Canis lupus familiaris: one gene and its partners. The protein of the gene in region 1 interacts with the protein of each later gene in a pairwise test. Links are inferred from orthologs where the notes say so. Each region holds a gene or a part of one and is shown in the gene's direction. Other genes may lie near its edges. The genes, in order: TFG, BOLL, SPG21, MAGED1, MAPK1IP1L, CSTF2 and PEF1.

Region 1 (3,500 bases):
AAAAACTCCAATGATTATTAAATATCTCTGACTTTTTATAGTTAGTATACTGCTTTTGGAAGTAACTACTTTGAAGAACAGTAGTGATTTGGATTCAAGAATTCTGCTTTTTTTTTTTTTTTTTAATAGGTTACTTTTTAGGTCAGTTATTTTAGGTGGCTATTTTTTTAGGTCAAAAATAGGCAAGGGGGATAACAGACCTGTCAGTCACGTTGTAGCTTTTAACATATATGTATAGAATAAGGTGTTTATTATATTACTTCAAAAATATAAAAAGAACAGTGTGGAGAAAAAAAGTGAGCTTTTGAAGGTACATAATTTCTATTAAAATATATATTAAAATTTTAGTTTATTGTAGTTTCTCCTAATAAAACTTTTTTTAACCAACATTATCATAGGCCATAGATGTGCATCAACAAAGACAGATTAATATTTGTTTTTTCAAAAAGTAAACTATTAGTAATAATAGTAATAGTAATAATAGTAATAATTATTAGTAATAATTCTTTCCTTAAAAAGAGTTCTCATTTAAATGACATCATTTGGTATCTTGTTTTTGTTTCTCTTTTTAAAGAAATTACATTTGTTTTTTCTTATTGCTGTTATTGTGTTGATATATTAAGAACATTGCCTAATTTTAAGCAAATTAATGTTTTTATTCCAGTTAATGGCCAGCCAAGACCCCTTGAATCCAGTCAGGTGAAATATCTCCGTCGAGAGCTGATAGAACTGAGAAATAAAGTGAACCGCTTATTGGATAGCTTGGAACCACCTGGAGAGCCAGGACCTTCCGGCAGTATTCCTGAAAATGGTAGACTGTGAATCCATTTTATTCTGCTTTATTCTTCCTTTGTCTTTCTAAAAAAATTTATTGTTATTATTTTAATTCCAATATAGTTTACAGTATTATATTAATTTTGGGTGTATAATATAGTGATTCAGCAATTCCATACATCAGCCAGTGCTCATTATGACAAGCAAATCCCCATCATCTGTTTAGCTCACCTCCCCTCTGGTAACCGTCAGTTCTCTGTAGTTAAGAATCTTTTTAGTTTCTTTTTTTTTTCCCCTTTGTTCATATTTCTTTCTTAAATTCCACATATGAGTGAAATGATATTTGTCTTTGACTTTTTGCCTAGCATTATACTCTATATATTCGTATCATTTTGCAGATTTTTTAAAAAACTGTTTATGTAGGAGCACGTTGGCATCCTTGTTACCCTTTCTTATTTTTGCCTCTGTCCTTTAGGATTACCAGGAGGTTTTATTTTACTAATTCCTGGATCTCATTGTAAATCTACTAAAGAGCAGGGCCAAAGAATCCCATTTTTAAAGTGCTCTTGGGTTAATTCCTTACAACTAGTCTTAAACCGGTGGGTTTATGAATAGGTCAGTTTTCAAACCCCTTTGACTCTTTTGAACCCTTTCCATTGTAATAATTACAGTGTAATTACAATAATTAGGAATTGCAATAATTTCATGTGTTTTATGTGGCATATGAAGTAATTTTAAATAAATAACTTGAGATTTGTATATTCAAATGGAAAATTGTAGACTTTACTTAAACATAGTTTTTAATCATATGTAAAGAAAAGCTTATTTTTTCCACTTTACAGATGATATGTAGTGTGTTTATATTAAGATAAAGTAAGATTTATTGACAAATTTGGAACTGACAAAGTTTTTGGACCAAATATATTTAAAAATGTAGACTGAAGTTTGTGTATTAGGGCTTGAAAATAGATTTTGAAAAACTGCTTTCCTCAACTTTTAGTATTCTTAGATGTTGCACTTAAAAAACAAACTTGTGGGGTTTTTTTTACAATTTTTGTTTGCATATAAATTATATGCTTAAAGTTGCATTATGAAATAGTAAGTTTTATAAAGTCTGGATGACTGTATATAACGGACTTAATAGAAGATGATTTTGTGGGAAAGTGGCATTGTATAATCCTTGCAGCCATTAGATTCTCCTCCTAGATTATATTTTTTGGCTCTATTTAAGTTTTGGAGTTGTTTTCTTTCTTTAGTTTAAATACAGTGTAAATAAAACTGCATTTTCTGTAATTTTCCTCTTCCTCTCTTCCTCCAGCTATGTGGAATTGTATTAATGGTAGATTCTTTTTTTTTTTTAATTTTTATTTATTTATGATAGTCACACAGAGAGAGAGAGAGAGAGAGAGAGAGAGAGAGAGGCAGAGACGCAGGCAGAGGGAGAAGCAGGCTCCATGCACTGGGAGCCCGACATGGGACTCGATCCCGGGTCTCCAGGATCGCGCCCTGGGCCAAAGGCAGGCGCCAAACCGCTGCGCCACCCAGGGATCCCTAATGGTAGATTCTTAATAAATACTTGGTGATTAGTTATTTCTAGTTCCACTTCTGTATTTCATTTTTTTTTTTTAAAGATTTTATTTATTCATGAGAGATACACAGAGAGAGGCAGACACAGGCAGAGGGAGAAGCAGGCTCCATGTAGGGAGCCTGATGTGGAACTCGATCCTGGGACTCTGGGATCATGCCCTGGGCCCAAGGCAGACGCTCAACCACTGAGCCACGCAGGTGTCCCTACTTCTGTATTTCAAAGCATATTAGAGATTTGCTGAAATACTATAATAAGATCTTCCTGACCTTTTCTTGATGAAACTTTTAATATTTCACGTCAAGGCAAATGGCCTTTTCTGAACCCTCTCTCTCCAGACAAAAAGCTCCAACTTTAGGTCCAGAATCTGAAGAAAACTTTTGGCCATTTTGCCAGAGTAATTCATAGATGGCTGACACAACAACATTTGCTTATAATTTCAGAGGGTTTGAGCATCTGTAGAATATTATGTAACTTAGATGAAAATTCAACAAGTGTAGCTGGTACTGTGTAAAAATTACCTATTGTAGCTTATATTCTGCTGTAAGGAATAGAATTATAAACTTTTACGTTTGGTGAAACAACCTTTCTGTTCTTATGTATTTCTTGCCACTGTTTTTATTACCTCACTTTATTAACCCTTTATTTTCATTTTTCATGTTTTATTATTCTCACCGATGTTAATGTAAAAGATGTTAAAACTGGTTTCTTAAAAAAAAAAAAAACTGGTTTCTTCTCTTCATCTTGGAAATTACATCACGCATTGTTCCTTTGTGTGGCCTCCCTTCTTGTCAGAGTGTCCTATTCCAGTTATCTAATGAGTAGAATAATGCATGCTGTGCTTTGGCTTTGTAGATGGTTGTAATTCATTTTTTGTTTCCTTTCTTGTCCTTAACAAGATCACTAGCTCTTGACCACCTGCCTTCTATGAAATTTAAAGCTTCTAAACTTTTAGAATATATCCTGACTTAATAATCTTCTCAAGAAAATAACATAAAATAACTCCCCCAAAATGCTACACCAGAAACAGTCTAGACCACGAAATGGTGTTGTCAGCTGTGAGTACTCCTTAGAACAATGTGGTTTGGCCTCACCCCAAAACATGTGGCTACCTACGTTCGTCAGTGGTCTGCCTCCGCAG
Region 2 (3,500 bases), on another chromosome or scaffold:
TATTCTCAAGTCTTGTTTTTTTCAGATATATGTTATGAGTCTACCATCTTGCCATTGTACAAAGGCTTATATGTTAATATATATTTATTAAAATCTAAATTAGGCCCCCAACTTAGAATTGTGAACATATATGTACTGAGCTCAGTTCTTTGGTATACAGATTTATACCTATGAGTTACAGGTATATACATTTCTTTTTTTACGAAGTCAGTTCAAATTGACAAGTGCATTTAAAACTTTGACTTTAGAGCTAGATAATGGTGAACTTGAATGTCAGAATGTATTAATTTGTCAGTGCCCTTGACCAAAGACTACCAGGAGCATACCTGTAGTTAAGTAAAGTTGAGTCTATTGAATTGTTGCCACAAGGAAGAGCTATATACCCTGGAGCCTCTCCATAAGAGGGTGTTAGAAAAGAACTCACTATGGGATTTAGGCTTGTATTAAGCTCTTCTTAGCATTTAGGGAAGAAGGGCTTTACTCTGAAATTCATATCGTCAGAAAGTGGGAGTAATTCTAGGTTTGGGTCTGTTAATTCTTATTTAGAAGGTAAGAAAAATAGATTGAGGCCAAACCTGTGATTGATAAAGAAGGAGTAGTAACATATATCAGCCAGGATAGAGGGGTGTTTAGTCATGCTTGTGGTTTGGACAATGCAGGGTTCAGCCATGACCATGGAGTGATCTTGTTTTTATTGTGATCCATCACAATCACAGAGTAACTTTGCCTCGAGTCTGTTAACAAGAGAACACCACAATCTTACTGTGAGTTCCAGGCCAACTCCTAACAACACCAGAACCAAGCCAGTTCCCAGCTGTCTGAGTCTGCTTTTCTCTTTCTCAAACTTCTTTTTTGAGTTTAATGTCCTTAGTATTTATACTATTTAAATAATATATTTAATAAACAATTAACATAAGTATATTTAAATAATATATTTAAGATTTTCTCTGTAGTGGAATAGATTCTATATTTCCCATATTTTTGTTGCTCCAAAGGGTTATTAGTTCTAACTATAATTTTCATATTAGAATAAAATTAAAGTCTAAAATATCACATTTTGCCTAAGTGACTCATCTTTTTGAGAGATACATGTTTTCAGCCTGCATCAAAACTTATACCCAATGCTAAAAATTTAAAAGAATTTTATTTTACAGCAAACATCAAATCAGACGCAAACAGATTCATTATCTCCATCCCCTAATCCTGTGTCACCTGTGCCTTTGAATAACCCAACAAGTGCCCCAAGATATGGAACAGTGATCCCTAATCGCATCTTTGTAGGAGGAATTGACTTTAAGGTACCTATTTATGCATGCAACGTAGTGTATTTTTTGCAATAGAAGTTATTTTATTTCTCAGAAATACTTTGTACAACTACAAAAATATTTACTAATTGCATAATTATTAGTACGTTTCACATTGTCTTACTATAAAAAATCTTTTCAATAACAATGTAGGTTAAATAGAACATATGTAATTGTCCAGTTTCACATACAAGGAAATTGAGGCTCATTGACATATCTGTAGGCTCCTAGCTTATTAGTGACAGTGAAGACTAGAACTTCAGTATTCTGACTCATAGTTTCATATTCTTCACCATACCACATTAATTATACTTTATTACATAGTATTCCAATAGATCAAATAATCATGTTTATAATTTTCAAAAAAGACTCAATATTAAAAAAAACACAAAACTTAGTCCTATGAAATCCTGTTTGTTTATCCCAGCTCTACTCAGTGAGGTACTGAGCTCTACTCTACTCTACTCAGGTTCCTACTGAGTGATCTCCTTAACTTCCATCTTTCACAGATCGCTTTCTGCCACCTAATTTAGAATTTGGTCACCAAAAAAAGGCCTGTAACCTTATCAGAATAAAGCATCTTAACATTAATGTATTTTAATTATGTAATCAGCCATTTCATTCTTTCAGAGAGGCTTAGTTTGTTGTTGTTAGATGTTTTGCAGCACCATTTCAGAGGTGGAAGTAAACACTTAGAGGAAAGGCCTGCATGGCTATTTTAAGTAGAATATCCTTACTTCCAAGTGGATCTATAGGATTTCCAAGCTTCCATTTTATGTACTGGAAATTACAGGGATAGTTATCTTTTTTAATTTAAAAATATCCTTTTGCCATTAGGGTACAAAATTTATTACTATTTCCCTGTCTGTAATCAGTCTTCCAAGATTAGGGTGAAATTACTTTTTTTCTGTTCAAGAGAAATGTTACACTCACTGTATTTGTCAGAATAATGGTTCTTAAGTGTGTGATTGGTTCACTAAAAATAAAAATGATTTCTAATGAAATGTTTATTTTAAAAAAGATTTTGTTTCTATGGAAAATATTCTAGTATTCTTGTTCAGAATTTATATTACAAACAGTATATTTTTAAAATAAATCCTCATTAAATCAAAACATTTGTATGGCTAGGTTATTCTAGGTTACTGAATTCTATCAGCTACATTATGAACTTTGGAGGCCATTGTTAAAAATGCAGTGACAGATTTCAGGTATTTGCTAGGGTTCCCTCCCTAATACTTAGATGTTTTCCAAAACCATAAACAAATGACAACAAGGAAATAGTTTACTGTAGTAACAAGCTGTGTCAAACTTTTTAAAACTTTAAAACTTTTTAGAAGCTTACTGTACATCCTTCTTATAATACTTAATCATCTTGCCTTTCTGTCTCCTTACTTTTCAACTAAGAAGTAGAGCTACAAAACTGAACTAGTGATTCTTCTATCAGAGAATAGTTTGAATTAATTTGTTTTTATTTTATTTTTTAAGATTTTATTTATTCATGAGAGGCACAGAGAGAGAGAGAGGCAGAAACATAGGCAGAGAGAAAAACAGGCTCCATGCAGGGAACCTGATGCAGGACTTGATCCTGGGACTCCAGGATCACGCCCTGAGCCGAAGGCAGGCGCTCAACCGCTGAGCCACTCAGGTGTCCCGAATTAATTTGTTTTTAAATATTTAATAGAAATTCTTATTCTGGCATTGATTCCATTTTAAGTTTATTGAAATAAGAGGTATTTAGTTATTCTGAGATTAACTTAGTATTTGTCAACAGTCAGTTTAGCAGCTTTACATTACCAACTAATAGCTGATGATGTATGTAAGTAGTAAGGGAACAGTGGAACTCAGGAGATTAACTTAGTATTTGTCATCAGTCAGTTTAGCAGCTTTACATTACCAACTAATAGCCGATGATGTAAGTAGTAAGGGAACAGTGGAACTCAGGAGGCATAGCCTCCTGCCATTGGGCATGTCTTTTTCTGAGTATATAAAGAAATTTTTTTTCTAAAGACATTTAAAGTCCCCCATGAAGTAATTATACATGTGCTAGAAAATGAAATAGCAATGAATTTAGTGTGAATACTCTAGGAAAAGATGATATGAGTCTATTGAGAGACTATTTCAATTAAAGCCATCTTTGTAGATATCTTGTACATTATAGTTTAATAATGACTCAGATTTTTATTTTGAATATCATAA
Region 3 (4,182 bases), on another chromosome or scaffold:
ATTATTCCATTCATTAAACTATTCCAAAGTTTTGAGGGGAAAGCCACAGGTTAAAAATCTTCTGTAGAAACATGCCCTATACACCTACCTGGTGCTCATTATAAAAGACCACTTCCTATGAGAATTCTGAAAGAAGTGACGAGTTGGGGAACAGGAGGCTAACGTGTGATTGTGTTCTTGGGGGATGCATCTGCAATTTGTTGGAGTTCTAGACTGGGACCCAACATTCACAAGCAGGAAGGCAGAGATCATGACTAAGGATTCCAATTTACTGAGATTCTCCCCTGACCTTAATCCCATAAACAGTTGCTGTTTATGCCAAAAGCTTTAGCAGGGTATAAGCTTTCCCTAAAACAGATTAGGGAGAGCCACTTTCAACAGGACCTTGTTGCAGGATCACAGAAAGACTTCAAATAAGATTTACATGTTATCCAACCTTATTATACATTCTTTCAGCAAGCTGCCAATGTTTTACTGTAACCTCTACCAAATTTTGCTTAAGAAGAATGCTTATAGGGCAGCCCGGGGGGTGGGGGTGGGGGGGCTCAGCGGTTTAGCGCCGCCTTCAGCCCAGGGAGTGACCCCGGGGGTCCTGGGATAGAGTCCCGCGTCAGGCTCCCTGCATGGAGCCTGCATCTCCCTCTGCCTGTGTTTCTGCCTCTCTCTGTCTCTCATGGATGAATGAATAAATAAAGAAGAATGCTTATAAATATATTAACATTCCCTATTCCTTTAAGGGGAAAGTGATGCAGGAGCCGGAGGCCTGGTGGGAGCTGTTCTCAAAAATCCTCCAGAAAGCGCAAGTCTGCAAAGAGCAGTGAGAGCCTTACAGGGTAAGACCACGGAGGGCGTTGTGCCAAGATGGGAAAAAAAAAAAAAAAAAAAAATCTTGCCAAGCAAAGACAGTATACAAAGTGCTGTTCACCAAAACTTGTAACCCAGGGGGGTGGTCCCCCAAAGCTTCACGTGGCGGAGAGAAAACGGTCCGCACCTGCTTCCTCCAGGAGGGCGCGAACTGAAGGCAGAGGCAGGTCCCAGGTGTCAGGCGCCCCCGTCTGCCGCTCGCACAATCTCTCCCTCGGTGCCCGCAGCGAATGGGTGACCTAGGGCTGACCCAGGGGCAATTCGCACCTCCCCCCAGCGCCCACCGCCACCCCGGGGGCGGCCGCCAGGTCCCAAGCGGCAGGATGCGCAGAGAGCGCCGAGTCTCTCTCCCGGCTCCATCCCGCCCCGTCGTCATGGTGACCGCCGGAGCCACGCAGCCCCGCCCCTTCCTCAGGACGTGGCCCCGCCTCCCCCAAACCCGGAAGCGCGAGGCTCGCGCCCACTGCGCGGCCCGTTCGGGACCCAGGCTCGCCCGCCGCGCGCCCCGCCCCTCGGAGGCCCGCCCTCCGGCTCGCCCCCGCCGACCGCGGCGCCTGCCAGGACCGAGCGCTCCGGCTGCAGGCGGCGACCCGGGCCCGCGCCCCTGCGGGAGGGGAGAGCCGCCTTGGGGAGGAGGGACAGGGACGTATGTGGAGGAGGCCACGGCGGGTGAGAGGTGGGCGAGGCCCTGGGAAGCGGGTGTGGGTGCGCGATGTGTTGAGGCTTGCAGGTGGGTGTGTGTGTAGTGTGCGCGGCTGCCTCCGTGGGTGTGACTTTGTTCGTGTGGCCCTTAGTGGGCTGGTCCATGTGACTGTGCACGTGATCGTGCGTGTGTGTCTGTCTGTCTGAGGTCGAGGTGGAGTTCACGGGGTGGTCGGTGTACCTGTGACCCTGCCTTTTGGTGGGACTGGGAGAGGGTGGGGTCTGTTTGGATCATTGGGGTGGCGGTGGGGGGCGGGGGGGGGGGCGCTTGACCAGAGCATACTGCTGTAATCCGGTCCTGGGGATATACTCCTGCAGTCCAGGAATATGTTTTTCCAACTTTTAAGAACTCTGAGCAGAAAGAAGCTAGTTATGTTAGAGAGTGCACCTCAGCCTGAAAGTGTCAAATGTCTTTGTCATCGCCAAGTGTGAGCCTTGTGAAGGGGGGCTGGGGTTGGAATGAGGAAAGTAGCAGGGCTAGAGTGTTTTGCTTTTCCTCTTCTGGCTTTCCTGGGGAGTTCTAAATTCTGCACTTATGCTGCTTCTTTGTCTCCTCGTACGATGTTGCAGCTCCTGTTAGCAGAAAGACTCCAGAGACTGAGGAGTAACTTAATAGCTGTGTGCAGATTTCCAAGAGCTTTTATCCCAAGACAGCACAAGATGAGGTGTCACAGAAGAAATGTCAAGTAGGCAGCTTTTCCTCCCATGAGATTTAGACGATAATGGAATAAGTTCCTGAAGAAGAGAGGGATAAATCTTCCCCCGAAGAGAGCTGAAAAAAGGATAGCTGTCTACTGGTGTGGTGAGTTATGGGGACTTGCATTTAAAAAGCCAATTGCATCTCCTGGAGACTCTCAGGGTTTAATACTTACTTCCGGCTGGTATTAATAATCACAGATTGTCCGTATGCAGAGCAACTACAGGTTGAGATAAAGGTTCCGAAAACCTCTGACTAGTTAAGCTGGTTATGTGACTTAAACATTTTTAGAGACAATTCCATTGATTGTAAACTGGCAGGTTCTGTTGAAACCCTGAGGGATAAGTGCATGTAATTCTAGGTGCACACTCATAATTGGCAATTTTATCGTCCAGTACCTCAAGGGCCAGAGAGAGGACTGGGTGTCCAGAACACTCCCTGAGGAGGGGTTTCTGTAGGCAAGATTAAGGCTAATTTCTGCAGCCCTTTTCCCACCAGCATGAACAGGTGCTTTTGTTTTTTGTGAAGAATTGAATCGTGAGAGATCAAATCAGCCTTGAGCTCATGATCCACATTCTTTCTTACTTAATACTGACCAGTTTGGTCACAATCTCAGTTAACCTTTTTTTGCTGTATACAGAAATGTTCTTCTTGTGACTTGGAAAAGTATACCCCTTTAGTGATTGAGAGCTAGGAGAACAAACTTCCTTTTCATACCACTCACAGCTGTTTTCCCTTTGCAGGAATGAGCTCTTTTTTTTTTTTTTTTTTTTAACTTAGACGTCAGTTGGTCAGATGCAACATTTGGTATCTATCTTACCTTTGATGTGCTGCCAAACCAGCACAAGTGTTAAAATCACTTGCCCCTACAAAAATGTAGTCACAGTTGGGTGGAATCTCTCCATCAAGTGAGATTAGTTATAAAATGTTATAATACTGGGTTGGTTGTGAATAATACCGAGGACTGTGGTAAGGAACATCTTTCTACTTATTGCTGTGGGAAGAAGTGGATGACAGTGCATGTGAGTGCCTGCGTATGATTGGTATATGTATGATAGTTGGTTTGTACATTGCAGCCGATTCCAAAACTGAATAATTTATTCCAAGTTTGGCAAATCTAGAAGCTATCTGTCTATAAGTAGCTTAGGTGTTTTATGAACCTGCTGAGTAGATTCAAATGGCTTAGATTTTTTTTAACATGTTATTATTTGTTAAGAGAAAGTGGATATGCAAAGAATGATTTTCTTGATTCCAGTATGAACTATAACTACATCTGTGCACACTGATTTCAGCATAAGACTGGCTAAATGATATCGTTGGTACTTTTTAGAACAACTTATGATTTTAACGAACTTTTCTAAAATTACCATCCCAGCCTTGAGAGAACAGACCATTATTACAATGTCAAGGTTGTAAATCAAGTTTAATAATGGATGTCTACATTTACCATCTCCTTGGGGTTTAGTTTAGTAACCCCGCAAGGTTAGAGGTAACTGTTAAGACTGCTGAGTTCCCTGTACTCCTGAGATAGCAGATGTGAGGGGCCAAAAAAGGAAGAGTTTCATTGGGTTTAGAGTCCCCAGCTCTTGGCCAGTCCAGAGAAGCCCCCTGCTCCCGTGGAGTCAGCCCAGGAGTTAAGTCCTATGGTCTTGAACACATCCTACATCTGGTTAGGAAATCCAGACTTGCCCTGGGGGTACAGGACAGGACACACAGCAAGAATTTGAATCCTTCTAAACCAGTGGGTGGAAGTTCCTCATTTGGCAATAAGAATCTGCAATGGGAACTGTAATTTCAGGTTCCTATTAGGACATAACACAGATGCCTGAGCAAAGAGGGGCAGCCTTTCAATTGAAGATGCCTAGCCAGTCCAAAGCTCTGAGGCCTGGGTCAAAAGGGACTCTAGGATTTCCCGATGC
Region 4 (4,263 bases), on another chromosome or scaffold:
GAGTTAAAATGTTGAAATGAACTATAAAAATACCATCAAAAGTAAGAACCTGGTGCTGGCCCCTGTCATTTCCCTGATCACATTTTGGTTATTTATTCATCTGACAAACATCAATAATCACCTATTTTATGCCAGGCTCTTATGTGTTTAAAATGTCACGTTTAGCTCCTAAGCTGTGGGTTCCTACTGCAATGCCCATGAGTGTAGCGCAGTATTTGGGACATGGTAGATGCTCACTGTATAGTAGTAGATTGACTGAAAATAACCACAAAAAAGGAAAACAGGTACAGATTTTGGACCCAGTGTTTTCTGGAGGTAGTGGCAATAGGTGATTCAATATTGAACTTTTAACCAGAGTAAGGATTATTCTTATTATTGAAAATTTTGGGAATCCCTGGGTGGCTCAGCGGTTTAGCACCTGCCTTCAGCCCAGGGCATGACCCTGGGGACCCCGGATCGAGTCCCACGTCGAGCTTCCTGCATGGAGCTTGCTTCTCCCTCTGCCTGTGTCTCTCATAATAAATAAATAAATAAATAAAATCTTAAAAAAAGAAAATTTTGTCAGTTGTCATTTTCTTGGGGGGGGTATATACATATACAAGAATGCTTTCTAGATGAATTTACCTTTATTTGTTAATTTGAGTATAGCATGTAACTCTTTGGATACTATTCCGAGACAAAAATGATTCAGATCTAAGATTTTTTAAAATCTCGAAATCGAAGTATGCCACTTATAAAAATGAACTTTTTACTCAACATGGTATGTTAGAAAATGGTAAACCAGTATGGCAAATACATAACTGTTGGCATCCAAGAGTCAAGGCACTAAGGGTTAGGAAGGTATTTTAAGGGCTAAATCAATAAGGCGAGGTGACAAATTTGGATATGTGGGGTTTGGCTGAAATAATGCAGTTCTTCGGATGACTAGAGTTAAAATTTCTTTTTTTTAAAGATTTTAGGGCAGCCCCGGTGGCTCGGCGGTTTAGCGCCGCCTTCAGCCCGGGGTGTGATCCTGGAGACCCGGGATCGAGTCCCACATGGGGCTCCCTGCGTGGAGCCTGCTTCTCCCTCTGCCTGTGTCTCTGCCTGCCTCTCTCTGTGTGTCTCTCATGAATAAATAAATAAAATCTTTAAAAAAATAAAGATTTTATTTATCCATAAGAGACACAGAAAGAGAGAGGCAGAGGGAGAGGGAGCCCGATATGGGACTCAATCCCGGGACTCCAGGATCACGCCCCGGGCCAAAGGCAGGCTCTAAACCGCTGAACTACCCAGGCGACCCTAGAGCTTTAATTAGTAAAAAGTTACTGTCTCTGAGCCGGTTCACATCACTAACCAGCTTCTGATACGCTGAAAGCCAGAGCAATAAAGTATTGTAAAAGCTTGCTAGAGAGGCACAGGAAGTTGCCTGTAAAGGGGGCGTGGCGTCGGAAAATAAGTTTCCGCCAAACGAAGGAAAATAGCGCTTCCGGTTACGCCATCGTTGTGTCGGGGCTTTCTTCACTGAGGTGAGTGGAAAGAAAGAGGCTCATAATTTTCACAAGTGAGTCTCCAAACCCTCCCGGGAAGCTTTCCTCCTTGCTTCAACATGGGGTGGAAAGATTTCATCCCCAGAGCACATTGTGTGAAGGATGTTTCTGACGCTTATGGTTCCGGTCGCCTGTCTACCTATTCTGAAGATGGCAGGCTGTCCTCCCTCTCTATTTTTGTCCTTTTATCCCTGGTCATTCTTCACCTCTCCTCGTTACCCCAGATCCTCTTCCTGATATTTCTGAGCCTGGGCCATTTCCTCTACCACAGATTTTTTTCCTACCTCTTAACTTCCACCTTCTTCCCCGGCCCCTTTTAGCCTCAAAACTTTTGCAACCCCCTTCTCCCGTTAGGAATCTACGCCCTTCCTTTTTCTTCAGCTCCAGTACTTTACTTTCCACCCCCCCCGCCCCTCCTGCCCGCCTCTTTCAGAGTCCTTTGAATTAAAAACTTGCCAAAACCAGGTGTGACTTCAGTTTCAAGGTCAACTCTTTTATTTCCTTAAAATAAGCAGTGGCAGAAATTTTAGTCCTAAGACACAGGAGCTTGTTCAGATTATTATATTATTGCTGAGTTTATTTTTACTCTTAACCAAAATGATACATCAGAAACTGCACTGATTTTAACCCTCCTGACATAAAAAAAAAAAAAAATTGGCACAGAACTCAATCCCCACTTTTTAGAGGAGCAGTCATAGGGGTTTTGCCTGTAAAACTTGTGTCAATTCTTGATGGTCGAAGCTTTCCCATCTCCTTTAGAACTTGTCATAGGACAGAAATGGTTGACGGATATGACATCCAATCACAAATTTATTTTTTCATATGAGTTATGCCTATTCAAATCTTTTTCTGGTCTTTGGTGGCAACATTGAACAGCAAGCTGACAGATTTTCAAAGTTTTCCTGGGAACTTCGCAAGTATTCTCTATTTCGTGCAAGGTGAAATATATTTTTCTGTTCCATTCATCATGTTTACTTTGTCTCGTGAGAACGTTAGTTAATCACAATTTATTATTCAATTTTTTACCCAAGAGAGGGGATATGATCATTAAACTTAAAATGAGTGTCAGGATTATTCAGGCTCTAAAGAGGAATTTATTCACCAAGAATTCCCTTGAACAAGCAATTTATTCCTTTCCTCCTGTAACTAGTGTGTTATACTTGCCAAAATAAGACGTAAATCTTTTTCTGGGCTAGGTGTAATTTTCAGTTCGTTTAGAAAAAAGTCAGGCTCGACTTCATGATACTAAAACACTTAAAAACTTTTTTGAAGGGTATTGCTGATGTCTCTGTATTCTCTAGTCAAGTTATAGTAACACAGCATTTAAATATCCCACGGCTTCAACCCAGTGTGCAACCATCATTTATTCATCTAAGAATTTTTTTATTGAATAACTTTATGTGTCAGACAGTGTTAAGCACTGAGGATACAACAGTGGAAAATAAAAAGCTTATTAAACTTTAGTTGAGAGACAGTAAATGAATATATAGTAAATATGAGTAAGTTGTAATGGAGAGGAGATGTAGTATTTTAAATAGGGATGGTGAGGAAGGCTTCCCTGGTAAGGCAACATTTGAGCAGAAACCTAAAGGAAGTGAGGGCACGAACTATGTACAGCTATTAATGGGAAAAACAGGATATATCTTATGTTGGTGTCTCTGTATTTGTTCACTCTGCTTCCACACCCCCCTTGCCCATTGTCACTTTTTTGCATGGCTTTAATGTAGCACTCTACATACTGAAATAACCTAATCCAGGCACATACATTTCCCATATTCTTTTGTTTTTTAATCTTGGCGAGCTTCTTGCTATCAATTAGGTATGTTGTTAGTTACCAGCCCTCTAGGAAGACATGTCTTTACATACATTTAGGTATGTTGTTAGTTACATACCTAATACGTCTAGAAGACGTATCTTTACATCCATCCTCACGTCTTCTTCAATCTTTTATCCGCAGTGCATTGTGTGCTATCCTACAGCATATTTGCTTACCTCTCTCACTGCTCTTATCACTGTGTGCTCATGATATGTTGCCCATAAATGTTTGGTATGTTAAATTGGAGGAATTGAGTACTTGTCTGTCTGTACAGGCAATCTTTTAAATATAGTTGGCCCTGGGATGCCTGGGTGACTAGGTAGTTGAGCATCTGCCTTTGGCTCAGGTCGTGATCCTTGGGTTTTGGGATTGAGTCCCGCATCAGGCTTCCTACAGGGAGCCTGCTTAACCTATGTGGTGGTATTGTTTGATCTTTCATTTGTATTCACAATTTATTTGTAATTGATTTCTTTGTATGTTTTCAGTATGAGTTATTGGTATGCGTAAAGGCCCCCCTTTTGTACATTTTTTGAAATGGACATTCAAGGGTGCCTGAGTGGCTCAGTCGGTTAAATGTCTGCCTTTGGCTCATTTCATGATCCCAGGGTCCTGGGATCAAGCCCTGTATTCGACTCTTTATTCAGCGGAGAGTCTACTTCTGCCTCTCCCTCTGTGCCCCCACTTCACCTCATGCTCCCACTCTTTAAAAAAGCAGATATTTAATCAACCTAATATCACTATTGAAAAGATAGCTATTTCCCTCCTATAGAGTCATGTTTTTCATAAATCAAATGACTAAGTTATTTATGTGGGTTTATTTCTTCTGAATTTTGTTCTGTTTGGTTAATTTTTCTATCCTTATATAAGTACCACTGTTATAATGGATGTCCTTTTATAATATATATCATATGTATATAG
Region 5 (4,149 bases), on another chromosome or scaffold:
AGGTTGAGCATCGTCATCCTGGGGTCTGGAGTCCTGGGATCAAGTTCTACATTGGGAATCCCAGCTCAGCGGGGAGCCTGCTTCTCCCTCTGCCTTTTTCTCTGCCTGTGTCTCATGAATAAATTTTTAAAAAATCAGAATTAAAACAACAACCTAATGAAAAAAGGTCAAGATTTTATTTTTTAGGATTTTATTCATGAGAGACACAGAAAGAGGCAGAGATATAGGCAGAAGGAGAAGCAGCAGGCTCCATACAGGAACCCGATGGGGGACTCGATCCCGGAATTCCAGGATCACCGCTCAGGCCGAAGGCAGACGCTCAACTGCTGAGCCACCCAGGCGTCCCAGGTCAAGATTTTAAATATAGTTTTACTGACGTCTGCTGACTCAGGATTCCTTATAGCTCCATAAGGCATTACAGATTCACTGCCTCCTGACGGCAGGGTAAGTTGTTCACACTAATGTCATTTTCCATAGACCATTTTCCCTGTCCAAAAATAGGTCTTCCCCAGGCTTGGGTATTTGCAGTTTCTCTATTGCCTCTTTTCCAGTAGGAGAAGTGTGGGTTCTGGTGGAGCATACCCAGGAATAAGTCTTCCTTTAAGACGTTTCTAATAAAATGCCCCTGCCCAGTGACCCACTAAGGGGTTACCCAAAGAAGCAAAATGTACTGATACCGCATATTTCTAGTGTAGTTTTACATATAAAAATCTATGTACATACTGTATGTATATACATTTTGCACACTATATAATTACGGCAGATTCCTTGACAGCCGGGGGAATGTGTCAATCATCCTACAGACCTGACCCAAAGTAGGTAAAGGTTCTTTCAAAGATGAACATGTGGGGCCCCCTTCCCCGTATGGCTCCTGTAGCGCTCCCCAATTTCGGCCCGAGGGCCGGGATTCACTGGTTGGCCGCATTCACAGCCAGCCGGCATCCAAGCCCGGCTGTAAAAATCTCTAAGCGTAGGAAATCCAGAAGCAGTCCTCAAACCAGTCCAGGAAACAAGCTAGCAGTTTCCGCCGAGGTGCCCAGAACGTCACTGGCTACAGGCATTTCCTCCGAGGGCTCAGAATTCCGGAAAACCGGGGAGCGGTCCTCCCTCCCGCGGGAGGAAAACAGCCGCCCCGGGGCGAGCGGGAGGAGCAGCCGCCCGGCCCCGCCCCGCCCCGCCCCGCCCCGCCGGGCAGGCCGCAGTGCAGCGCGAAGCCTGCGGGGGGCGCCCGCGGCCGCACCCGGCCCGGGGAGGAGGGGGGAGAGCGCGCGGGGGCGGCGCGCTCGGCGCTTCCTGTTCCGGCGCCAGGAGGAGCCGCGCGCTGTTAGTGCTGCCGCTGCCGCCGCCGCCGCCTCCGCCTCCGCCGCCACCGCCGCCGCTGCTGCCGCCGCCACCGCCGCCGCCGCGCTCGTCAGTCAGTCCGCGTTCGGTTCTTCAGCACCCGATTCCCCCGGACCCATCGCCGCTTCTAGACTTTGCTGCGGGCTCGGATCTGGCCGGGTGAGGCTGCCTCGGCGCTAGTGGGTATCGTGGAGGGGGGCAGGGGAGCACGCCCAAGCGGGAGACGGGCGCGGTAACAGAGGAACCTCGAGTCGCCTCTTCAGGGGCCGGGACTAAACGTCGGCCCCCGCCATCTTCCCTCAGGCTGCGAGGTGCCCCCCGATCGCCCCCCGGGAGGAGGCGTCGGAGGCGGCTGACGTCGCGCCGGACGGGTTTCTCCGCACTTGACGTCAGGCCGGGTTTGGGGGCGGGGCGGCGAGAGGGCCCGGCCCCTCCCCCACCCTCCCCACCCCCACCCCTTTCCGGGCGGCGCGACCCGCTCGGCGGCCGGTTCGCTCCGGTTGATCCCGGACTCCCTTTGTTCGTTGGGCCCTGAAGGCTTCCCGGCTCGCGCCCCCTCGGTCCCCTCCCCCATTCATTAATTTCTAATAAAACGGGAGCGAGGGGCCTGAACAGCCTTGGAGGAATCTGGCACTTGTTTAATCAGATTGTCCGCCGTGTGACAACGTTCCGGTCGTTAGTTGCCGAAGGAGTTGCTACACAGATCCTATTCGACGAATACACATGACAGAAGCCGTGAGTTCGGCGACACTCTCTTTCTTAGGATTTGGGGGCTTGTGTTACGCATGGAAGCTTATAAATAGCTGAGCCGTTTCCTCTTCGAAAACCAAAAGCAGTGCTTTTACTGGTTAAAAATTTCTAATGTTGAGGCATCAGACCGTATTCCCCTGACGGGAAAAAAAAAAAAAAATTACTGCTGAAGAAATACACACTCTTACACACCTGATGGTTGTGAAGGCATGTTCTGTAAAGGAGCCTCCTTTTACAGGCCAAGGTAGCCTTCGGAGAGCTTTCAGAAGTTCTTTGTTCGGCTGTATTCACTGGGCAGCAACAGGAATTTTTCTGGTACTGGCGTCTCTGAACCTCCTATTTAAAACTAGTTTGTCTCAGCGACTTGAGTTGGGTTGTGTGTGTGAGAATGTTCTTTTCTTCTCTCCAGAAGGAACAGAGAGAGACCCATTCCTTAACTGCAAGGCTCGGGGCCGGTATGTTTTGGAATTCAGCAATCTTCGAATTGTGTCTTTAGATTTTAGAAAGAGTAAGATGCGTAGGCCAGAGGTGTCACCCTCACAAGGTCCCAGCAGCATCCCTGAGACTACGGTAATAATGGTGCAGGGATAGGCGTGACTTCATGGAAACTGTAAATATCCTCAGGTCACGTTTTGCCACCCAACTAAGTTTTATGCCAAATTCTGGAATTTTCCTTTTCTTTTCAGAAGTTTCCAAATCGAGAACTGCAGATAAAGGTTTGCAGGCCTGTGACCGCGATTGTAAAAGTTAACGTTTGTTGAGTTTTCCTTGAGTGCCAGAGAGAGACCAGGAGATTTATTTTGTCAGTCTGGGGGCAGGTCTGCAAGGTGGATACTACTCCTGTGTACTTAAACCTCTGGAGTTTGAAGAATTCAACCTGTCCATCACCTGCCAGTGAAGAGCTAGGGTTTTATCTACGCAGCCATAACTTTCAGGGTCATTCTTTTAATCTCTGCTGCCATGCCCATGTAGGAAGAAAGACAAGGGAATATATATCTGTTGCCCATCCACTATTTTTTAGAGCACTGTTATTATAGACACTTAATTTATGAATACCATTTAGTCTTTCGCATCACTAGCCCTTTTATAGTTGAAGAAACTGAGTCACTGGGGTGAGCTGAATCTGATTGAGACATTCAAACCTCAGTTTAAAGGCTCTCTGCTAAAACTTCTATCCCTCCCCTCTCTGTATTCCAACCAATTCGAACTGCTTATATTTCCCATAGCGTATTCTTGCCTGCTTTAGCTTTTGCACGGTCTGCTCTTTCCCGGGGCCTGTCCCATCATCCCCTACTGCCAGCTCTTCATTGTTCTCCCAGACTGCAAAGGAACCTCTTCTCAGGGTTCCTCCCCTTATTCTCCTTTCCTTGATTCCTTTAGGTGCCCTTTAGGTACTCAACTTGGTGCCCTGGGCTTACCCAAAGTAAGGTAGTTACTATTTAAAGGATAGTTCAGGGGGGTTCCTGGGTGGCTCAGCGGTTTACCACCTGCCTTTGGCTCAGGGTGTGATCCTGGAGTCCCAGAATGGAGTCCTGCATCGGGCTCCCTGCCTGGGGCCTGCTTCTCCCTCTGCCTGTGTCTCTGCCTCTCTCTCTCTCCCTGTCATGAATGAATGAATAAATAAATAAATAAATAAATAAATAAATAAACTTTAAAAAAAAAAATAAAGGGTAGTTCACCAGATTGTGAATTCCTTAAATGTCTATTCTGTGTAGTACTCTTCATTTCCCCAAAGCCTAACAAGACAGTGCCTGGTGTGTATATTCCAGGCATAAGTATAAAAAAAATGATACTTTAAAAAATTATGTCTTTTGGGACGCCTGGGTGGCTCAGCAGTTGAGCATCTGCCTTCAGCTCCAGTTGTGATCTCAGAGTCCTGGGATCAAGTCCCCACATCGGGCTCCCCGCGGGGAGCCTGCTTCTCCCTCTACTTGTGTCTGCCTCTCTCTGTGTCTCTCATGTATGAATAAATCTTTTAAAAAAATAAAAATTATGTCTTTCAAAAGCTTAAGAATATTCAAAAACTTTACTAAGTCCTCAGTTCCTTGAGTTGTCCAA
Region 6 (4,099 bases), on another chromosome or scaffold:
TGGCTTCCCAAATTCTTTGACTCTCCTCCAGGCATCCTTTCTCTTCTGCACAAGCTCCCAAATAACACTTATTCTAAATATAGTCCCATTTGTGTAGAAATGCACCTTTCCTAGTTTTTCCCCTTACCTCTTCATACTACACCTATACTCTTGTGTAACTGAAGTTCAGTCATAACACCTACAACAACATCAGACACCCTATCTTCTGTCTTCATTTTGTTATAATCTATAGGCTAAAGGTATGTGTCACTCCAAGAGTGTTGCAGTGAAGGAAAACGACTCTGAGGGACAACAGGCACTAAGGCAGGAGTCACTAGCACACGGCCTGTAAATGAAACCCAAATATACAAAAGCAAAAGCTTAGGAAACATCCCTTGCACACTCCTCCTTTTTTAACCAGTAAAGTAGGGTTGGTTGATGAAGTGAGAGAACCAACAGTCCATTCTCTACAAATGATTGATGGCAGCACAACAAGCCCCTGGTTATAGATGCCTCAACCTGTACTAGCGAAGTTCATTGTTATGAGCCACTGTCCCACAATCCCCAAGTCATACGGTCTAAATCGTTTTCCAAAAATGGTAATAAAATATGTCGAGTCATTCATATTCCCTCAGTTATACTGGGAGGCAATAGCTACAGCAGCTAAGCATTCAGTCTCTGAGCCAAAGCAACTTGAGTTCAAATCATGCTTTAGCTGCTTGTTGAGTACCAGCAGTCAAAGACCTTTTCTAGATACCCCTTTGCCTCCGCCTTCCGCCACCTTGCTCCCTCACCACCACAGAGCACATGGAACCCAGGGGCAGACAGGGATCTGTTCTCCCTTTACCTCCCCATCTCCTCAGCTACGGTGACGCCTTGAATCTGAGCGATCCTCATTCTCATTCCCTAGACCGCCACTACTGTTTCCTCACGTTGCTTGGTACACTCCAGCCTTTACAAAATAACAGGCAAGCTGCGGGGGTGGGACCAAGCACTTTTCCCTGAAAGGGCGGAACTAAAACCAAAGCGCTAAGGTTATTAGCAAATGACTTCCCTGTTACCATGGTAAAGCGGCAGCCGCCATCTTTATTGTGGTCGATGATTCCTCGTGTTGGTCTCAGAAAAAAAGGAAAAATAAGGAATTTTACAGATTAAAATCCTGGAAGCTAGCCTGGGGCCGCTCAAACCTAGTTCGGGAAAGAGTTATCCTCTGGTCGCAACTCAGCTCGGAGGGGTTAATGCTCTTGGGGACGGAAAGCGCGCCGGCTGCAGACCGAATGACGCCAGAGGAGGGGCCATGCTGTTCGGCCCGCCCAGGTGCTTCCGGCTTACGCGCCGTACAGAAGCGTGTTTAGCGCAGAGCTCATGCGCCGTACACAAGTGTGCTCCGGCGCACCGGAAGCTTCCGGAAGAGAGCGATGGCGGGTTTGACTGTGAGAGACCCTGCGGTGGATCGTTCTCTGCGTTCGGTGTTCGGTGAGAGGAATTCGTGAAGCCAAGCATCGGGGAGGGACAGAAAGAGACAGGGTGCGGCGAGGAATGCCCCCTGCACCTCATGAATCGCCGGAGAAGCTGGTGATGGGTCGAGCTTGCAGCTCTACCTGCCTATCCTGTGGGGCGGCCAACCTAGTGGACTCGCGGGCAAAGTGATGCCTCCCCCTGAGGTCTCACTGCCTTTCCATGATGTGGCAGAGGAAGTTAAACTAGCATTCAGCTTCTATGCATTTCTTCTTTCATGAGCTTCACTTATTGTCTGGAATCGAGGGCGCATGGCAACTGTCCCTTACTACTTTTCACCCTCTACCCTAAAATACAGATTATATGCTGAGTGTCTATACGCTCCTTGTGTCCACTTCCCGCCCTTTTATAAGGACTTTTATCCTCTGTTGTTTACTGTGACATTTTAGTTCGATATTGATTGTGGCCACCTTACGTCTTAAGGTGGATTGTAAATGAATGAATGAACGAATGATTAAGACCTTGTCGAAGAAATTTTAAAGAGGATCATAATATTTTGTTTAAGTAACTGTAGTGATTTTTAAAGCTTCTTTTGGAAAGGACATGATAAAATAGTTTAGAATAATTTTTAAACATCCTTCACTACATTCATGGTTATTCTTTGTGTGCGTGCGTGTAGAAATATGGACATAATGAGCCAGTTTTTAAAATTCCAATTGCTTTGGTATTTTTAGTAGTTATTGATAAGACTTGCAGATCTTCAGGTAAGTACCAATGCCAAACTATTTTCACTGAAGTTAAGGAAAATCATCACACTTGTCAGATGAGCCTGAGAACTGATATTTAGAAGTGCCTATACCTTTAGTCTTAGCAGTTTATATGTTTTGTAATTAAAGTCAGCAGACAAGATTGAAATCATGCCGAAATACCATGGAACTGCAATTGTAGGAACACTATTTTGAGATATTTGTTACATTTTCAGTAGGTGGACACTGTTTACTTACAAGGGAAATAGATCACAAACTCAGAATTTTAATGTCTATTTTCTTCCATAGTGGGGAACATTCCATATGAGGCTACTGAAGAACAATTAAAGGACATCTTTTCTGAGGTTGGACCTGTTGTTAGTTTCAGGTGAGATTCTCCTTTGACTACTTGGGGTTTTCTTTAAAATCACAAATTTAGGGACACCTGGGTGGCTCAGCGGTTAAGCGTCTGCCTTTGGCCCAGAGCGTGATCCTGGAGTCCCCGGATCGAGTCCCACATCAGGCTCCCTGCATGGAACCTGCTTCTCTCTCTGCCTGTGTCTCTGCCTCTGTCTCTGTGTCTCTCATGAATAAATAAATAAAATCTTTAAAATAAAATAAAATCACATATTTGGCCCTTAGCAATAATGGCAAGGTTTTTACTGGTGACTTTTCACATGCATCCTTCTGTTTGTAACAGCCTTATTCAGATATAATTCACATACCATATAATTCACAATTACTTTTACTAAATGATACTTTTTTTCATTTAAAAATGTTTTAAAAATATTTCAGCAAAGCAATCAGAGTAATAAAGTTATTTGTCTTACAGTGAACCAAATTAGAACATGGCCGTGTTAGCAGGAACCCTGTATGTGTGTAGCATTTGTGCCTGATACTTGGTTCTACCCTTCCAGGTTGGTGTATGATAGGGAGACAGGAAAGCCAAAGGGTTATGGCTTCTGTGAATACCAAGACCAGGAGACGGCACTTAGTGCCATGCGAAACTTGAATGGACGTGAATTCAGTGGGAGAGCCCTTCGAGTGGACAATGCTGCCAGTGAAAAGAACAAAGAAGAGTTGAAGAGTGAGTATAAACCTGATTTATATGCAACGTGAGTTAGTAAAGATGTAACAAGATTTTTCCATTTATGATGTTTTTAGCACCTGCTGAAATGGTTAGGCACATAGCTTCTTGACCCACTTGAGGCACCTGCATTAGGGAATTGTATATCTTTGAGAAATAAAGTTGACTTTAGGAGTTGTTCAGGTGTGAAGGAGTTAATTTACAGTTGAAGATGAATTCAGGTTCATCAAACCATTAGTTGCACTAACTATGTCATTAGTTTACCACTGCTGTAACTATTTGCCAGATATGTAATTGGTGGGATTACTAAGGCATTCTGGGTCTTTTCATGTGGTAACAGACCAGGAATTCCATTTTGAAATTAGCATCTTTTTCTATTATTTTGTTTCTAAAAATTAGCATCTTTATTGTTTCGTTTCTGGAGTGACTTGTTAGAGGAAATTAATATGCCTCATCCCTAATTAGGTTAACATTTTCCATCTGTGTGATCCTAGTCCTAGCTTTCTTCTAAGAGTGGAAAATATACTCTGTCACTTTCCTCTACAGAAATAAGAGACTTGCAACTCACTTATTTCTCAGTTCCAGAAAATGTAAAGTTACAATGGGTCCTAGAAAGAAAGTGGCCCTAGAAGGTAGATACTTAAAATGATTTAGCTCATAATTTTGCCTCCTTAACTTTTTGTACTTTCTTCCCGATCAGGCCTTGGCACTGGTGCCCCTGTCATTGAGTCACCTTATGGAGAGACCATCAGTCCTGAGGATGCCCCTGAGTCCATTAGCAAAGCAGTTGCCAGTCTTCCACCGGAGCAGATGTTTGAGTTGATGAAAC
Region 7 (3,934 bases), on another chromosome or scaffold:
GACTGGGTGAATTTTCTGGGATAAAAGAGGGGAATACGTTTTGAGGAAAATAACAAAGAGAACCCTTACATGAGGCTGGCTGGAATATAGCACAGTAACAATACCAAATGCCAAGGTGAAGTTGGGTCATATGTGAAAGGTCTCGAGGGCCAGAATGAAGACGTTGGGCCTTTTTTGTAGGTGCAGATGGAGTCGTTGTAGCCTCTGTCCAGCCAGCAGGTAGCATGATGAGCACAGTGATTTTGGAAAGTGCCTGGCTAGATAGATAGATAGATGGTCTGGAATGGATAACACCTCGTAACACCTTATTCACTTATCGATTAAAAAAAACAAAACAAAACAAAACCGTGCCAGGCACTCTCCTAGGTACATGGGATAGGACAAGAAAAACCACATACCTATGCCCACGTGTAAGAGCTTAACCCCTTAGTCAAGTAAGCATGCAAACAAGTGCAGAGCCTGAACCACGAGCAAGCAAGTACATGACTCTACGTGGTCACTCAGTGACAGAACTGGACTGACTTGGGGGAACAGTCCAGACCTCCCCGCTGAGAACCCGGTAACCACTGACAGCAGCTCTAGGCCACCTCTGCCCCCGCCCACTGTGAACCAGGGCAAGTCGCTGCCTCTCCGGACCACAGTATCGCTGTTTTACGAAGAGAGCCCAGATGATCTAATTTTCCTCCCACTCTGGTGGCCGGGGGTTTTCCTCCCCAAAGACCACGGGTCTCACTCCAAAGCTACTAACTGGCACGTGGTGTCCTGACATTAGAGCGAGGTACTCCCGCCGTTGCCTCCCCCCTGTCCAGGAGGCCTCTGTCTGTTCCGGTCGTCACGGCAACCGCCCGGGCCCTCCTCCGGCGGGCGCGGGCGGAAACTTCCCGTGACGACTGCAAGGCACCCGCTACCAGGCGCCCCATTTGCCAGGTTAAAACATGGCCACCGCCGCAACACCCGACTCCAGTTTCTCGCTGAATACCCGGGCCTGAGCAGCCCCGGAGCCCACGCCAGGGCAGGAAAGGGAAGAACGGCCCCGCCCGCAGGCTGGCAGGGTTTCCGGAAACCCTCACGCCTTCCTTAGCACCCCGGCCTCTCCCCAGGCACCCGACCACCGCCCTAGAACGTCACTTCCGTCGGTCCCGGCGTCCAGGATTGACGGCGGCGGCCACCCAATCACAAGCGGGCCCACCCCCGGCCCGGGCGGGGCAGGCTTAGGGCCGGGAAGCCCCGCCCCTCGCCGACGTGTGACGTCGAGTCGCCATGGCCAGCTACCCGTACGGGCAGGTGAGTGTGCGGGGGGGCGGGCGATTCCAGGTAGGGGCTTCGCCGAGTCCAGGCCCAGGCGCCGCCTCGCCTTGTCCGGGCGTTCTCCGCGCCCTTCCTACGCGGAGGCCGGCGTCGGCGAGGTCTCGCGCGCCAGGGAAGGCGAAAGGCTGCTCGGTCGCGCCTGTCTCACGTCACGCAGGACTGCGGGTCTGGGAGGTTGCGTCGCGCCCCCTCTGACGTCGCGCCCGTGAGGATTTGGGGACCTTGGACCCCACGTAATCAGGCGAGGCTCTGATTACCTCCTCGGGGCTCCCGGGGGGCTGCCGACGGGCTCACCCGCGCCAGCAGAACTGAGACAACTGGTTGCGCCTGCCACGTTCGGGGCGTCGGATAAAAATACACCCCTGACGTACTGCGTGCGAAGAATCGGGAGAATCTTGATTGACCCGCTTCTGCGGGTCCCACGAGTGACCTTGCTCGTTTAGGCTGACCCCTCCGTTTCATGCATGGGAACAGTGAAACCCAGAGAAGACGCAGAACTTACCCGAGGCCCCCGGGCGGGCAGCGGAACCCGGAAGCTGTCGGCACAGGCCTCTTACCCCCTCCCCAGCCCATTTCGATCCAGCCAAGAGCACCACAGCCAGGGGATTCTGTGACCAGAAGCCTCTGTTGGATGACGGATCGGTAGAGTGGTTAAGTTCAGCCTGGAGTCAGCAGGTTCACCCCTTGGCCCCACCTCTTAAATAGTTAGGAGCCGTTAAGCAAGGTATTTTGCTTCTGTGAGCCTGTTTCCCCGTCCATAAAATAGGGCCCAATAAATAGGGTCTACTTGAGAGAGCTGTCGTGAATAGCAAGCTGTCATGCTTGTAAAGCATTTGGTACTTCTAAGAGTCTAACAGTATTTTAGTATTTGGATTTTTTTTTTTTTTTAAGACTCCTAGGTCAGTGCCAGGAGGGTCCTCAAAATAGTCCCTTTATTTTAAGAAACTGAAGCCCAGAGAGGCTCCTGAGTTGCCCAAGATCATACTAATTTAGGAGGTAAAACCCATGCAGGGGGGATGCCTGGGTGGCTCAGTGGTTGAACGTCTGTCTGCCTTTGGCTCAGGGTGTGATCCTGGAGACCTGGGATTGAGTCCCAGGTCGGGCTCCCTGCATGGGGCCTGCTTCTCTCTCTGCCTGGGTCTCTGCCTCTCTGTGTCTCTCATGAATAAATAAATTAAATATTTAAAAACCCATGCAGGGAAAATTGGAAAATAAAATTATATGGGATATTAGCGATCAACTGAGTATAGTCCCATGCCAAAAGAGAGGTGAGGGAGTACAGCCCTGTATGGCTTTTGTACACAGTATTTGAACCTTTTTAATCTCAGTGATGAAGGTCCTGTAAGCATGCTAGCAGAGATTATTGTCCCAAGGTTATTGCTGAGGAAGGAGCCCAAAGAGGTTAAGTGGCTTGCTCCTTTTCGTTGCATTTTTAGCAGAGGTAGAAAAAAAAAGCTGATGTTAAGAGGAAGTATAATCTAGCAGGGCTTCCAAAGCTCCATTCCATTGGTTGGGTCTTACGAAATGTTAATAGGTATTGCTAATAGAGGAGGATTCTGTGGTTAAATAAGTTTGGGAGATACTCCATGAAATACTCCGTGAATAAGTTTGTTCAACACGGGGCATCTCAGAATTCTTAATTTGTCAATATGCTTTTGTAAATCTGCCATTGAGGGATAGAATATGCAGTATTTTTAAACTTATTTAACTGTGGAACTACCTCCCACTCCCAACTCCCCTTTTTAAAAAATTTCTGGTCATTTTTTGGTACAGCTACTATCTTGGGGGAACACAGTTTGGGAAAACATTGCTATGGTGCGTTGTTTTTTAGTGGATGGTCTGTGTCAGAATCACCAGGAAGTTTGTTTAGAAAGCACACCTTTGGGGATACCTGGGTGACACAGTCAACTGAGCATCTGACCTGGTGTCAGCTCAGGTCATGATCTCAGGGTTGTGAGATTGAGCCCTGCATCAGGTTCTGCACTCTGCACAGAGATTGCTTGGGATTCTCTCTCCCTTCCCCTCTGTACCTGCCTGCTATGCTCTCTCCTTTCTCTCTCTCTCTCTCTTTCTCTTTCTCTCAAATAAAATAAAATAAAATAAAATAAAAAGGCACACTTTTGGGTTCTACCTCAGACCTATTCCATACCCAGGAAGGGCCCAGGAATCTACATCTTAATAAGTTTCTGGAGGTATTTTGTAAGCATCTTAGAGGCAGTAACATGGAAATTAAGAGCCTAAGCTTCCAGGTTGGATACAACTGGGCTAGAATCCTAATTCTAGCACTTAATAGTTATATGCCCTTGGACAAACCATCTAAGGGCTCTGACCATCAGTTTGCTCACCTTTAAGAAGGGAGGAATAATACTTCATAGGGCTGAAATGAAGACAAACTGTGATAAAGCTTGCAGTGAGCTTGGCACTGTGCTGATACCAAGTGTGTGCCAGTGCCTGGTGGTGGCTCTTGCTGCTGGGATCACTGTTAGGCCACATGGCCTGGGCTTCTGCTCAGAGTGAAATTCTGAAAAAGAGCATGGAGAGAACAGTGTCTAGAATAGAAGAAATGCTTTTATCCCCCCCATCATACCCTGTCCACCTGTCCAACTCCTGGTCCAAGGTATTCCAA

The links.
Region 2: the proteins of TFG (region 1) and BOLL interact in binary tests that used the Homo sapiens proteins (3 or more experiments, as listed by UniProt). The two-hybrid records come from large-scale screens. The link is inferred for Canis lupus familiaris from reciprocal best matches to the Homo sapiens genes TFG and BOLL.
Region 3: the proteins of TFG (region 1) and SPG21 interact in binary tests that used the Homo sapiens proteins (3 or more experiments, as listed by UniProt). The two-hybrid records come from large-scale screens. The link is inferred for Canis lupus familiaris from reciprocal best matches to the Homo sapiens genes TFG and SPG21.
Region 4: the proteins of TFG (region 1) and MAGED1 interact in binary tests that used the Homo sapiens proteins (3 or more experiments, as listed by UniProt). The two-hybrid records come from large-scale screens. The link is inferred for Canis lupus familiaris from reciprocal best matches to the Homo sapiens genes TFG and MAGED1.
Region 5: the proteins of TFG (region 1) and MAPK1IP1L interact in binary tests that used the Homo sapiens proteins (3 or more experiments, as listed by UniProt). The two-hybrid records come from large-scale screens. The link is inferred for Canis lupus familiaris from reciprocal best matches to the Homo sapiens genes TFG and MAPK1IP1L.
Region 6: the proteins of TFG (region 1) and CSTF2 interact in binary tests that used the Homo sapiens proteins (3 or more experiments, as listed by UniProt). The two-hybrid records come from large-scale screens. The link is inferred for Canis lupus familiaris from reciprocal best matches to the Homo sapiens genes TFG and CSTF2.
Region 7: the proteins of TFG (region 1) and PEF1 interact in binary tests that used the Homo sapiens proteins (3 or more experiments, as listed by UniProt). The two-hybrid records come from large-scale screens. The link is inferred for Canis lupus familiaris from reciprocal best matches to the Homo sapiens genes TFG and PEF1.

The regions. Positions count from the first base shown.
Region 1 is NC_049254.1:7,655,820-7,659,319, forward strand, and holds part of TFG (protein TFG), read left to right. Parts: intron 1-664; coding exon 665-811; intron 812-3,500. UniProt on the Homo sapiens protein: Plays a role in the normal dynamic function of the endoplasmic reticulum (ER) and its associated microtubules. Required for secretory cargo traffic from the endoplasmic reticulum to the Golgi apparatus.
Region 2 is NC_049258.1:7,090,215-7,093,714, reverse strand, and holds part of BOLL (protein boule-like), read left to right. Parts: intron 1-1,154; coding exon 1,155-1,298; intron 1,299-3,500. UniProt on the Homo sapiens protein: Probable RNA-binding protein, which may be required during spermatogenesis. May act by binding to the 3'-UTR of mRNAs and regulating their translation.
Region 3 is NC_049251.1:29,798,180-29,802,361, reverse strand, and holds the start of SPG21 (maspardin), read left to right. Parts: upstream 1-1,382; 5' UTR 1,383-1,533; exon of another isoform or gene 1,534-1,540; intron 1,541-1,667; exon of another isoform or gene 1,668-1,765; intron 1,766-2,136; 5' UTR 2,137-2,368; intron 2,369-4,182. UniProt on the Homo sapiens protein: May play a role as a negative regulatory factor in CD4-dependent T-cell activation.
Region 4 is NC_049260.1:44,749,442-44,753,704, forward strand, and holds the start of MAGED1 (melanoma-associated antigen D1), read left to right. Parts: upstream 1-1,463; 5' UTR 1,464-1,508; intron 1,509-4,263. UniProt on the Homo sapiens protein: Involved in the apoptotic response after nerve growth factor (NGF) binding in neuronal cells. Inhibits cell cycle progression, and facilitates NGFR-mediated apoptosis. May act as a regulator of the function of DLX family members.
Region 5 is NC_049229.1:31,205,113-31,209,261, forward strand, and holds the start of MAPK1IP1L (MAPK-interacting and spindle-stabilizing protein-like), read left to right. Parts: upstream 1-1,349; 5' UTR 1,350-1,500; intron 1,501-1,854; exon of another isoform or gene 1,855-2,064; coding exon of another isoform or gene 2,065-2,076; intron 2,077-2,382; exon of another isoform or gene 2,383-2,406; intron 2,407-2,639; exon of another isoform or gene 2,640-2,661; intron 2,662-2,677; exon of another isoform or gene 2,678-2,701; intron 2,702-4,149.
Region 6 is NC_049260.1:75,160,768-75,164,866, forward strand, and holds the start of CSTF2 (cleavage stimulation factor subunit 2), read left to right. Parts: upstream 1-1,299; 5' UTR 1,300-1,397; coding exon 1,398-1,455; intron 1,456-1,478; exon of another isoform or gene 1,479-1,643; intron 1,644-2,492; coding exon 2,493-2,571; intron 2,572-3,100; coding exon 3,101-3,270; intron 3,271-3,970; coding exon 3,971-4,099. UniProt on the Homo sapiens protein: One of the multiple factors required for polyadenylation and 3'-end cleavage of mammalian pre-mRNAs. This subunit is directly involved in the binding to pre-mRNAs.
Region 7 is NC_049223.1:68,861,261-68,865,194, forward strand, and holds the start of PEF1 (peflin), read left to right. Parts: upstream 1-1,134; 5' UTR 1,135-1,260; coding exon 1,261-1,284; intron 1,285-1,810; exon of another isoform or gene 1,811-2,101; intron 2,102-3,934. UniProt on the Homo sapiens protein: Calcium-binding protein that acts as an adapter that bridges unrelated proteins or stabilizes weak protein-protein complexes in response to calcium.